Bombyx mori: one gene and its partner. The main gene of each other region encodes a partner of the protein of the gene in region 2 in a complex. Links are inferred from orthologs where the notes say so. Each region holds a gene or a part of one and is shown on either strand. Other genes may lie near its edges.

The links. The genes of interacting proteins can lie anywhere in the genome.
Region 1: the proteins of 2-oxoisovalerate dehydrogenase subunit alpha, mitochondrial (region 2) and 2-oxoisovalerate dehydrogenase subunit beta, mitochondrial are in contact, whole or in part, in a crystal structure (PDB 1V16), measured with the Homo sapiens proteins. The link is inferred for Bombyx mori from reciprocal best matches to the Homo sapiens genes BCKDHA and BCKDHB. Residues at the interface, in NP_000700.1 of Homo sapiens: Phe155, Leu185, Gly186, Lys187, Arg189, Gln190, Gly196, Cys197, Lys198, Phe202, Val203, Thr204, Ser206, Pro208, Thr211, Pro214, Gln215, Val217, Gly218, Ala219, Tyr221, Ala222, Arg225, Gly244, Asp245, Ala248, Asn251, Phe252, Thr255, Leu256; in NP_000047.1 of Homo sapiens: Pro89, Thr90, Val92, Asp117, Arg118, Phe120, Asn121, Thr122, Pro123, Cys125, Gln127, Gly128, Ile129, Gly131, Phe132, Ile134, Gly135, Ile136, Val138, Thr139, Asp158, Gln159, Asn162, Glu163, Ala165, Tyr167, Arg168, Tyr169, Arg170, Ser171.

What each region holds. Positions count from the first base shown.
Region 1 is NC_085115.1:1,897,336-1,901,384, reverse strand, and holds the start of 2-oxoisovalerate dehydrogenase subunit beta, mitochondrial, read right to left. Parts: upstream 2,806-4,049; 5' UTR 2,270-2,805; coding exon 2,149-2,269; intron 1,832-2,148; coding exon 1,695-1,831; intron 958-1,694; coding exon 814-957; intron 1-813. UniProt on the Homo sapiens protein: Together with BCKDHA forms the heterotetrameric E1 subunit of the mitochondrial branched-chain alpha-ketoacid dehydrogenase (BCKD) complex.
Region 2 is NC_085129.1:15,377,782-15,382,027, reverse strand, and holds the start of 2-oxoisovalerate dehydrogenase subunit alpha, mitochondrial, read left to right. Parts: upstream 1-1,444; 5' UTR 1,445-1,671; coding exon 1,672-1,731; intron 1,732-2,007; coding exon 2,008-2,067; intron 2,068-2,147; coding exon 2,148-2,419; intron 2,420-2,762; coding exon 2,763-3,019; intron 3,020-3,313; coding exon 3,314-3,479; intron 3,480-4,211; coding exon 4,212-4,246. UniProt on the Homo sapiens protein: Together with BCKDHB forms the heterotetrameric E1 subunit of the mitochondrial branched-chain alpha-ketoacid dehydrogenase (BCKD) complex.

The sequences.
Region 1 (4,049 bases), on a different chromosome or scaffold from region 2:
TTGTTAGAAAAGTTGAAAACCTTGACATATTTGGCGATTCCCTTCCAATATTTAAGAACAAAATTATAAAAAGTTGTTGTTGAACCTCAGCCTCAGCCTCGGTCTGAGTACTCGGGCATTACTGCCCTTGTTGTCTTTCTTTTGTTTTTAATTTTTTATTATTATTAATAGTATTGTTAAATCTCTATTTATATATTAATGTAATGCATGCTGTGATTGCCTCTAATTAGAGTTGCAGTTATCAATTGCTCTATACATGTCAATGTTATTTTATGTCTTACTGTAAACCCTGTCGGTAATCCTTAAATAAATAAATAAATAAATAAATAAATAAATAAATATGAAAAGTCTGTTACTTGTAGAGGATGAAGAATCAAATTAAAGATTAAAGTTTAGATAAAAATATCTAAATAATAAATATAAAATTGCTGTAAGTATTTTCAGCATAATATCTTGATTCAATTGTGCAAGCCCTGGGTTGATTTTGTCATTATGCTAAGATATAATTGAGAAATTCCAAAAAATATTTTCTTGTTGATTATAGATAGGTTGAAAAGTCCATGGCCTAAATTCAAATTATTTTTAAAAATCTCATGTTGATAGCCATATAATCATCAAGTCAATACCATCAATAACTTTGCATTTGCATTGCATTGGATTCTGGATATAAATATATCTGTGGCAAGAATTAAAAATGTGCCTACACTCAGAACATCAAATATCTGTATCAATTATTCTTACAGGGAATCACAGAAATAATCAGACAAATGACGAAACCTTAAAGTGCATAATACCCAATATTTAATTACCTACCTGATCAAATGCTGGAAATATGTAATCAGCAAATTGTATTTCAGCAATAGCAGTTGCGCCTGCAGTGGCTAGACCTATACCGAAGCCGGCAATACCCTGTTCACATAGTGGAGTATTGAAAACACGGTCCTTGCCATATTTCTCCTGGAATAAATAGGTTACTTTAATGTAGGTAGCTGTGTTATGGTCTCCCTCTCTCTCTCTCTCTCTCTCTCACTATAATGCAATGGTCTTAGATTACCCAGGTCACTTCCAGGACTTCCTGCAGAAGCTGAGATATTGTTTGTATGACACTTTCACACACACTAAAAATGGACTGAATATTTGGATGTTAATTTGCTGCAAAATTCTTGTTCATTGTATTGTATTGTATACTATAACTACAGTACAAATACCAGCAATTCTCTGCAAATAAGTCTCTAACCTACACCAATTTTGTGTGTGAAATATTGCAACCAGACCAAAATGTATGCTTTTTAATACATAAATGATATTCCATGTTTCAATTTTTGAAAATGCATTTCATTTTATTAAATTTTTTATCCTATCAGACATCAACTCCTGGGCCTATCTGGTTGAAGTGGTTGTCAGAGTCCGTGCATCTTAATTTTGCAATTAATTTAATTAATTATAAAATTAATTAATATAATGTTTATTAATATTTTTATATTTGGCCACCTGACTTTTCCACCATAGAAAACAGTTTTTTTTTTTTTTTACATTAAATTCAAATATTAACATTGGACTCGACTTGAACTTGCCTAGATCTTACTAACTTGACTAGATCAGACTTGAACATTTTAAAAATATAAATAGAAACTTTAAAACTAAACTCTGATCTGAACTATCTGACAAATTTTGTAGTTAAGAATTATTTTTACCTGTAACCCCAAAGCACATCTGAAGACACCCCCGAATGCGACATCTTCACCGAACAATACAGCAGTTGGATTATTCTTCAATGTGATGTCCATTGCATTGTTTATTGCTTGCATCATATTCATCTTTGTCGTTTCTCCTGAATAGCACATAGAATCTCGTATTTTAAGTGTGTTTAACTATAGAGCTGGCAGGCTCATTATTCAACTGATTTTAGACAGTTAATAGCAAAAATGCTGATTTATGAACAAGATATTATTTGATGTGTATTCTTAACCACCCACTGATATGATTATGAGCGCTTCAATGCACGTATCTAAGAATTACAAAAATATAAAAGTATTTAATAAATTATACGATCAATGAATCAAATTACAACTTAAATTAGTACAATTCAAATTGTTCAATGAAAACATGTTTGCTCTATATATCATAAAAATCTCAAGTCACACTCACCATCTACTGGCCTTTCTTTATCTGGATAATAAATAAAATGTGAAGACATTCTTTTAGCGTAGTTATTAACATTTCGAATTAATTTATGGAACACAATACTTTTTGTACTTAAACTTGTCATTTTTAACGTCACGAAATCCAACGACTGTTGAATTGGGTAATAAGCTGTTATCTACTAACGTAATTAACTTTGCTTTGATTAAGAATCATTGATAAAGTGTGTGACGAAAGAATTAGCATTTTCTCGCGTTAGTCAGTATTGTTTTCCTACTTGTTGAAGTTCAGTTTTTATTACAACTTCGACTCTATTTGTACGGGATAATGTTTACTTTCAAATATCTTATCTTTCGAAACAAGTGTAGTGACGGCAATACCGGCACGAACTTTGGTCTTCGAGAATACTTTATTAAAATGAGTTCAATTTACATTTTAAACAAATTAACGAAGTTTTCTAAAAAAATTTTAATGAGCCTATCATTAACATATTATGCACACAAAATAAACCTAACATTAATTATCCAATCTTCAGAATATTTCAGTAAATTGAAAAACTATTCGTTTTTAACCGCTTCGCGACACTTCGCGTTATGTGCCGAATCCGAAAATTCAACAATAACATTACTAAATTTTCTTGACGTTGACGTTGACGTTTTCAATAAAACGAGAAGATGTCACTGTCGTTTTTTGTCCTACTTCGAATATTGTAAGGTTTCCAAAACCAAACTAGCGTCGAAAAGCTATCAGGCAACCTGATATAGGTAACTACAGCGGAATCCCTAATAAGCTTTTTGTTAATATGATACATTACACTACATTTATTGTTGTTCACTACTGCTACTACTACTATACATTATTTGAGTATAGATATTTGCTTAGTTTAGCTAGTATAGCTTAAGAGAAAAAAATCTACCCAGTTCAAAACTCTCTACGTTATCTTAGTTGTTATAAAATTCTTCAACTTCAAACCTACTTCAATTGTAATGTACTTAAACTTCTATGGGTTTGAAGAATTCGAATAGTTTAATCTCCAGGATTTTAGCTATATAATTTTTTTTTCAGACTGCCCATGCCGCGGCGCCGACGTCCTCTGCTGGAAATAGGCCAAAATAGCTCCCTAATCACACTTAGGCAATTTCTCAAAACCACATCAAATATCTCATTGAATATTCCATGCATAAGTGTTAGTAAAAAGAAAGTTCCCACTGCCAAAAGTCACATAATATTGAGTAGTTTTTGTTCGCATATATTTTAATTAACATAGTACTAATATAAGTATAATAACTAACCATAGTATAATTAACATAGTATAGTCTGTCAGGTTATCATTTCAAAAATTTAAAAGTTTAAATTAATGACACGAAAATTCATGAATTTGCTATGAATTGCTGGTTTCTGTTGAGCAATAGATGTTGCTTTCAGGGTTTTATTTAGCTACTAGCAAATACCATTGCACAAACAACTTCGTAGATAGGGTAATCAAATTGGATTGAAACATCATTATCTACATTTTAATAAGTGTAATCCTCCAAGTGAAGCTAAATTTTTGTACCTAATTATTTGCCTTATAAATAAAACTAATTTTATTAAATAATAAAATTGTATTTGTTAATGGTTGTTTATAATGTATTTTTTAATGACATTATAAAATATAAGTAGTTGGTACATAAGTAGGGTTTGCATTGATTTTTGTATTTACTTTGCATTTTACCTGTATTTATTCATTTTGAGGCCGCACCGCGTTTTAAATTATAATGAAGTACCTAATATAATTTATAAAAACGTAATACCTATAATTTTTTACTTTATTACCTTGATTAAAATTTAATCAACACGGCACTTTTTGAGTACAATAGAACGATGGATCATTCTAATAGTAAAAAAAATCTTTGTTGTTTTGTTTA
Region 2 (4,246 bases):
TATCGATATGTCACTTTCGGAATAACTGTCCTAAATTGGTGGCTACCGATTGCTTCTTTGACTTCGGTATAGGTAATGGGTCGTAACGCGTCGGAGGGTGGCAAGAAAGCTCTGCGCTCGACTTCCCCGTCACGGTGTGTTCGGGGTCCGCAGATTAAGCATTGGTGGTACACTGCTCTAGCAGTGCATCGGTTAATGACTCTACCTTTTCATTATCATCGAGAGCCGGGGGATGTCCTGAGGGGCAAACTGGCGATATATATGTTTCCTGTGACTATATCCTGTTCTTGTTCCTATGACTATAGTTTCCGATTTGAGTGTCCTAGCTAGTCGCCAGTACCTTTGGGATGAGGGCGCGAGTCTTTCTAAATAACTTTCCTACCTTGTATTTCGGGCTTCGTCTACGCGAGATTTGACATCCCACTGTAGACGATACATCCGAATCCGGTTTGATTCGGTGGGATGACGATCATAAGCCCCGATTGATGCGTTTCTAACTTTTAGGAGATTCCTGGGCTCGGGGGACAATCTGATGCGATGGAAGAAGTCTTCCTCATTGACTTGATGGGATGCATTGCCCATCGTGGTGGACAGATGGTTTGTCAGGATGTCTATAGATTCGACGATGTCCTGAGGGGACGGGGTGAAATCCAGGCTATAAGAGAGGATTGGTTGGGAGGCTTCTGCAAGGCTGGCGCTCAGTTTCTGCCAATCCACCGTGAGCCTCGTGACTGGTGTAAGGACGACGGGGTTGCATGACGACAAGTCGGTAGTCGGAGCTTGTTGGCACTGTCGAAAGTTTTAGACGAGACGTCTGCAACCTTAATCTTACACAATGAGCTTATTTCTGATGCGTAATAATGTATTTGGTGGTAAATGTAGTAATGTGTAATAAAGTTTTAATGTTATTTTTTTTTTAGAACTCTGAAGCGTTTCTTTTTGTGTTCACGTACTGCTTGTAATGTTTTGTGCTGGTGTACATCATGTTGGTACACGATATATAAAGAAATAAATAAAATACCACCAGTAATTACGCACGTTTCTATATTTTCCGATTTGATGTTCATTTTTTTTTTATTGCTTAGATGGGTGGATGACCTGATAGCCCACCTGGTGTGAAGTGGTTACCAGAACCCATAGACATCTATAACGTAAATGCCGCCATCCACCTTCGGATATGAGTTCTAAGGTCTCAGCATAGTTACAACGGCTGTCCCACTCTTCAAACCGAAACACATTACTGCTTCACGGCTGAAATAGGCAGAGTGGTGGTACGGATTTACAAGAAAAAAGGTATATCTTGTGGATTTATAAAAATAAAAAATAGGTATCTACTTAATTAATGGTTGATAAAAAAAAATAACAAGAATATTTATTGATTTTTTTACGACTCGCAAATGGTGTTATGCAGTCATAAATGATGCATGATCAGCAAACTTATCCATAATGGTTCTCCATCATCAACATGTAGAAATAAAATAAACTTTAATATTTTTGACATTTTGTAATTTTAATTGCTATCGTACGTAGGTAAAAGGGTACGAAACATCCAATGACGTTATTAATTGAAAAAAAAAACACGTACATAAGTTTCTTATCTTGATAATTGGTAATGTTATGTTAAATAAAACAGCGATTGTGCTTCATTATTAGTTTTAAGTCAGTCTCAAGATGGCGTTGAAGACCGGAGCAAGTTTTGTCAAATTAAATGCTTTTCGACGGGCTGCTAGGGTGAGTTATTTTAAAATTATTAACAAAATGAATTACAACAGTATTTTAAGTATAAAAACATACCCTTGACAACATAACGATAAGAAAAGTTGATGATTTTGATTTAATCTTTATTTTTTGCCTGATAACCATGTTGTTTTACATTTCATCACAAAGTTTATTTACAAGTTAAAATGTTCCCTACCTAGATGAACATAAAGTTGAATTTTGTATGAACAACAATATTTTCGAGAATCAGTGCAATCGTAAACTTTTGTATTGGATTTTTGAAAACAGGCTATCGATGTCAAAAGTAGTGATGTGAGAAAAAGATCGATAACAAATATCGTGAAATGGGTGAGTTCATTAATAGGGCGCAACAAATTTGTATTTATAGGAATTCCACCATGTGTTTTTAAGACTCAATTCCATTTTAGCTTTTGTCGACGCGTACGAGGCCCGAAACGGCACAGAATGGCGGTGGTAAGATAGCAGAATTTCCTGGCGCAAGAGCACCGTACGTGAGTGAAATGAAATTCTTCAACGAAACTAGTTATGAGCCAATTCCGATTTATCGAGTTATGGATAATAACGGACAGATCATCGACAAAAATGAAGAACCGAACTTGGATAAGGCTACGCTGATTAACATGTACAAAACCATGGTACAACTGAGCCATATGGATAAAATTCTATATGAATCACAAAGGTAATTTCATTCGCTTTTAGTTTTATAAAACACATTTTTAGATACTGGCCAAAACCCAGCTGTATAGTATAGTTATTTTGATTGCTCGATTGAATCTGGTTCATTCCGGAATTATTGAAGTCCACGGGTACCGGTGATAATTTACCATCTAGTGGATCGTATGCTCTTGTGCCCATAGCGGCAATAAAAAAATTATTACTTTGCACACAATTAACAAAGGCCTCAGAACCGCGGTGGACGCAGGCCGCTTCAACCCGTCACATCGCTATGGATATTTTATAGAAAAGATCTTCAGCGGTGGATCTTATAGCTGACATGATGATTTGTATTGATTATTTCACAGACAAGGCCGCATTTCATTTTATATGACCAACTACGGCGAGGAGGGCATCCACATAGGCAGCGCCTCGGCACTCTCACCGAAAGATTTGGTCTTCAGTCAATACAGAGAAGTAGGAGTGTTTTTATACCGAGGGATGACTGTGACGGAACTTGTGAACCAGTGTTACGGAAACTGCGAGGATCCGGGGAAAGGGAGACAGATGCCGGTCCATTACGGAAGCAAGCACCACAACATGGTCACAATATCTAGTCCATTAGGTAATAAATTCTAAATAGTGGTGGTTCTAAGTGGTTTCGTTCGACAGACGTACTTGACTTAGCGTTGAGCGATAATTATAGTCCACTGTATATTGTATTGTGAGTACATAGGGGAAGTTCATTTTGCCTTTAAAATCTAACGGCATCATTTGACAGCAGATTTGTAAAGATAGGTGCACTTTTAGGTACAACTTAACTATTCACGTATTAGATAAGATATTAGTTTAGCAATTAGTAAGTCCATGGATTGCTAAGAAGTTCTTCTCAGTATGTACATGAAATGTTTTTTATCAGGAACACAAATGCCCCAGGCTGTTGGAGCCGCTTATGCCTACAAAAGAGTTCCGAATAACGACCGCTGCGTGATCTGCTACTTCGGTGACGGCGCTGCCTCGGAGGGCGATGCTCATGCGGCTTTCAACTTTGCCGCTACGTTAGATTGTCCTGTTATTATGCTGTGGTCAGTATTGCGAAATTTAATCATAGGTGTCTTTAGAAAACGTCATTATTTCATCATACGAGTCATTCGAGACTGTACCTACGCTATGTTCTGAAACTTGTGTGAAAACGTCTATGTATCGTTATAATTTCAATAACTTGTCACCGAATTTTTTCGAGAAGTAGGCATGATCCAAAAGAAGAAATCACTCATGGACATCCTACTCGTGGCCTTTCGCACGGCCACACGCACGGAACTTGGCGATACAGCGATACCACGACTTATTACCAAACTACAGCTTGTCGTAAAATACGTGGAATTGTTGAAATTTCTTTAGCAATCATTGTTTTCTTTTTACTGTACTGTTTTATTATTTTAACTGAGGGTAGGATATTTTACATTTTTTAGATTTTTATAGGTAGCAGGTCAACCATGACGCTACTACCAGTCTTACTTTAAACGGTAGGCAGCGGCTTGGCTCTGCCCTTGGTATTGCTGACGTCCATGAATGACAGTAACCACTCACCACCAGGTGGGCCGTATGCCGGTCTGCCTACACCGGCAATAAAAAAAATCTACACAAAATTATTTTAACGCAATTAAGTCATCGGCTGATGTCCCAACATATGAGTCCGAAGTGACGGTATTCACGTAGTTATGTCAGTGGGCTCTCATAATCACTTCAAGCCGTGCATAAAACAAAACCAATAAAATATGTTGAATTCAAATCTCAACTATACCTTCCGCTTGCAGCAGAAACAACGGCTACGCGATATCTACACCCACAA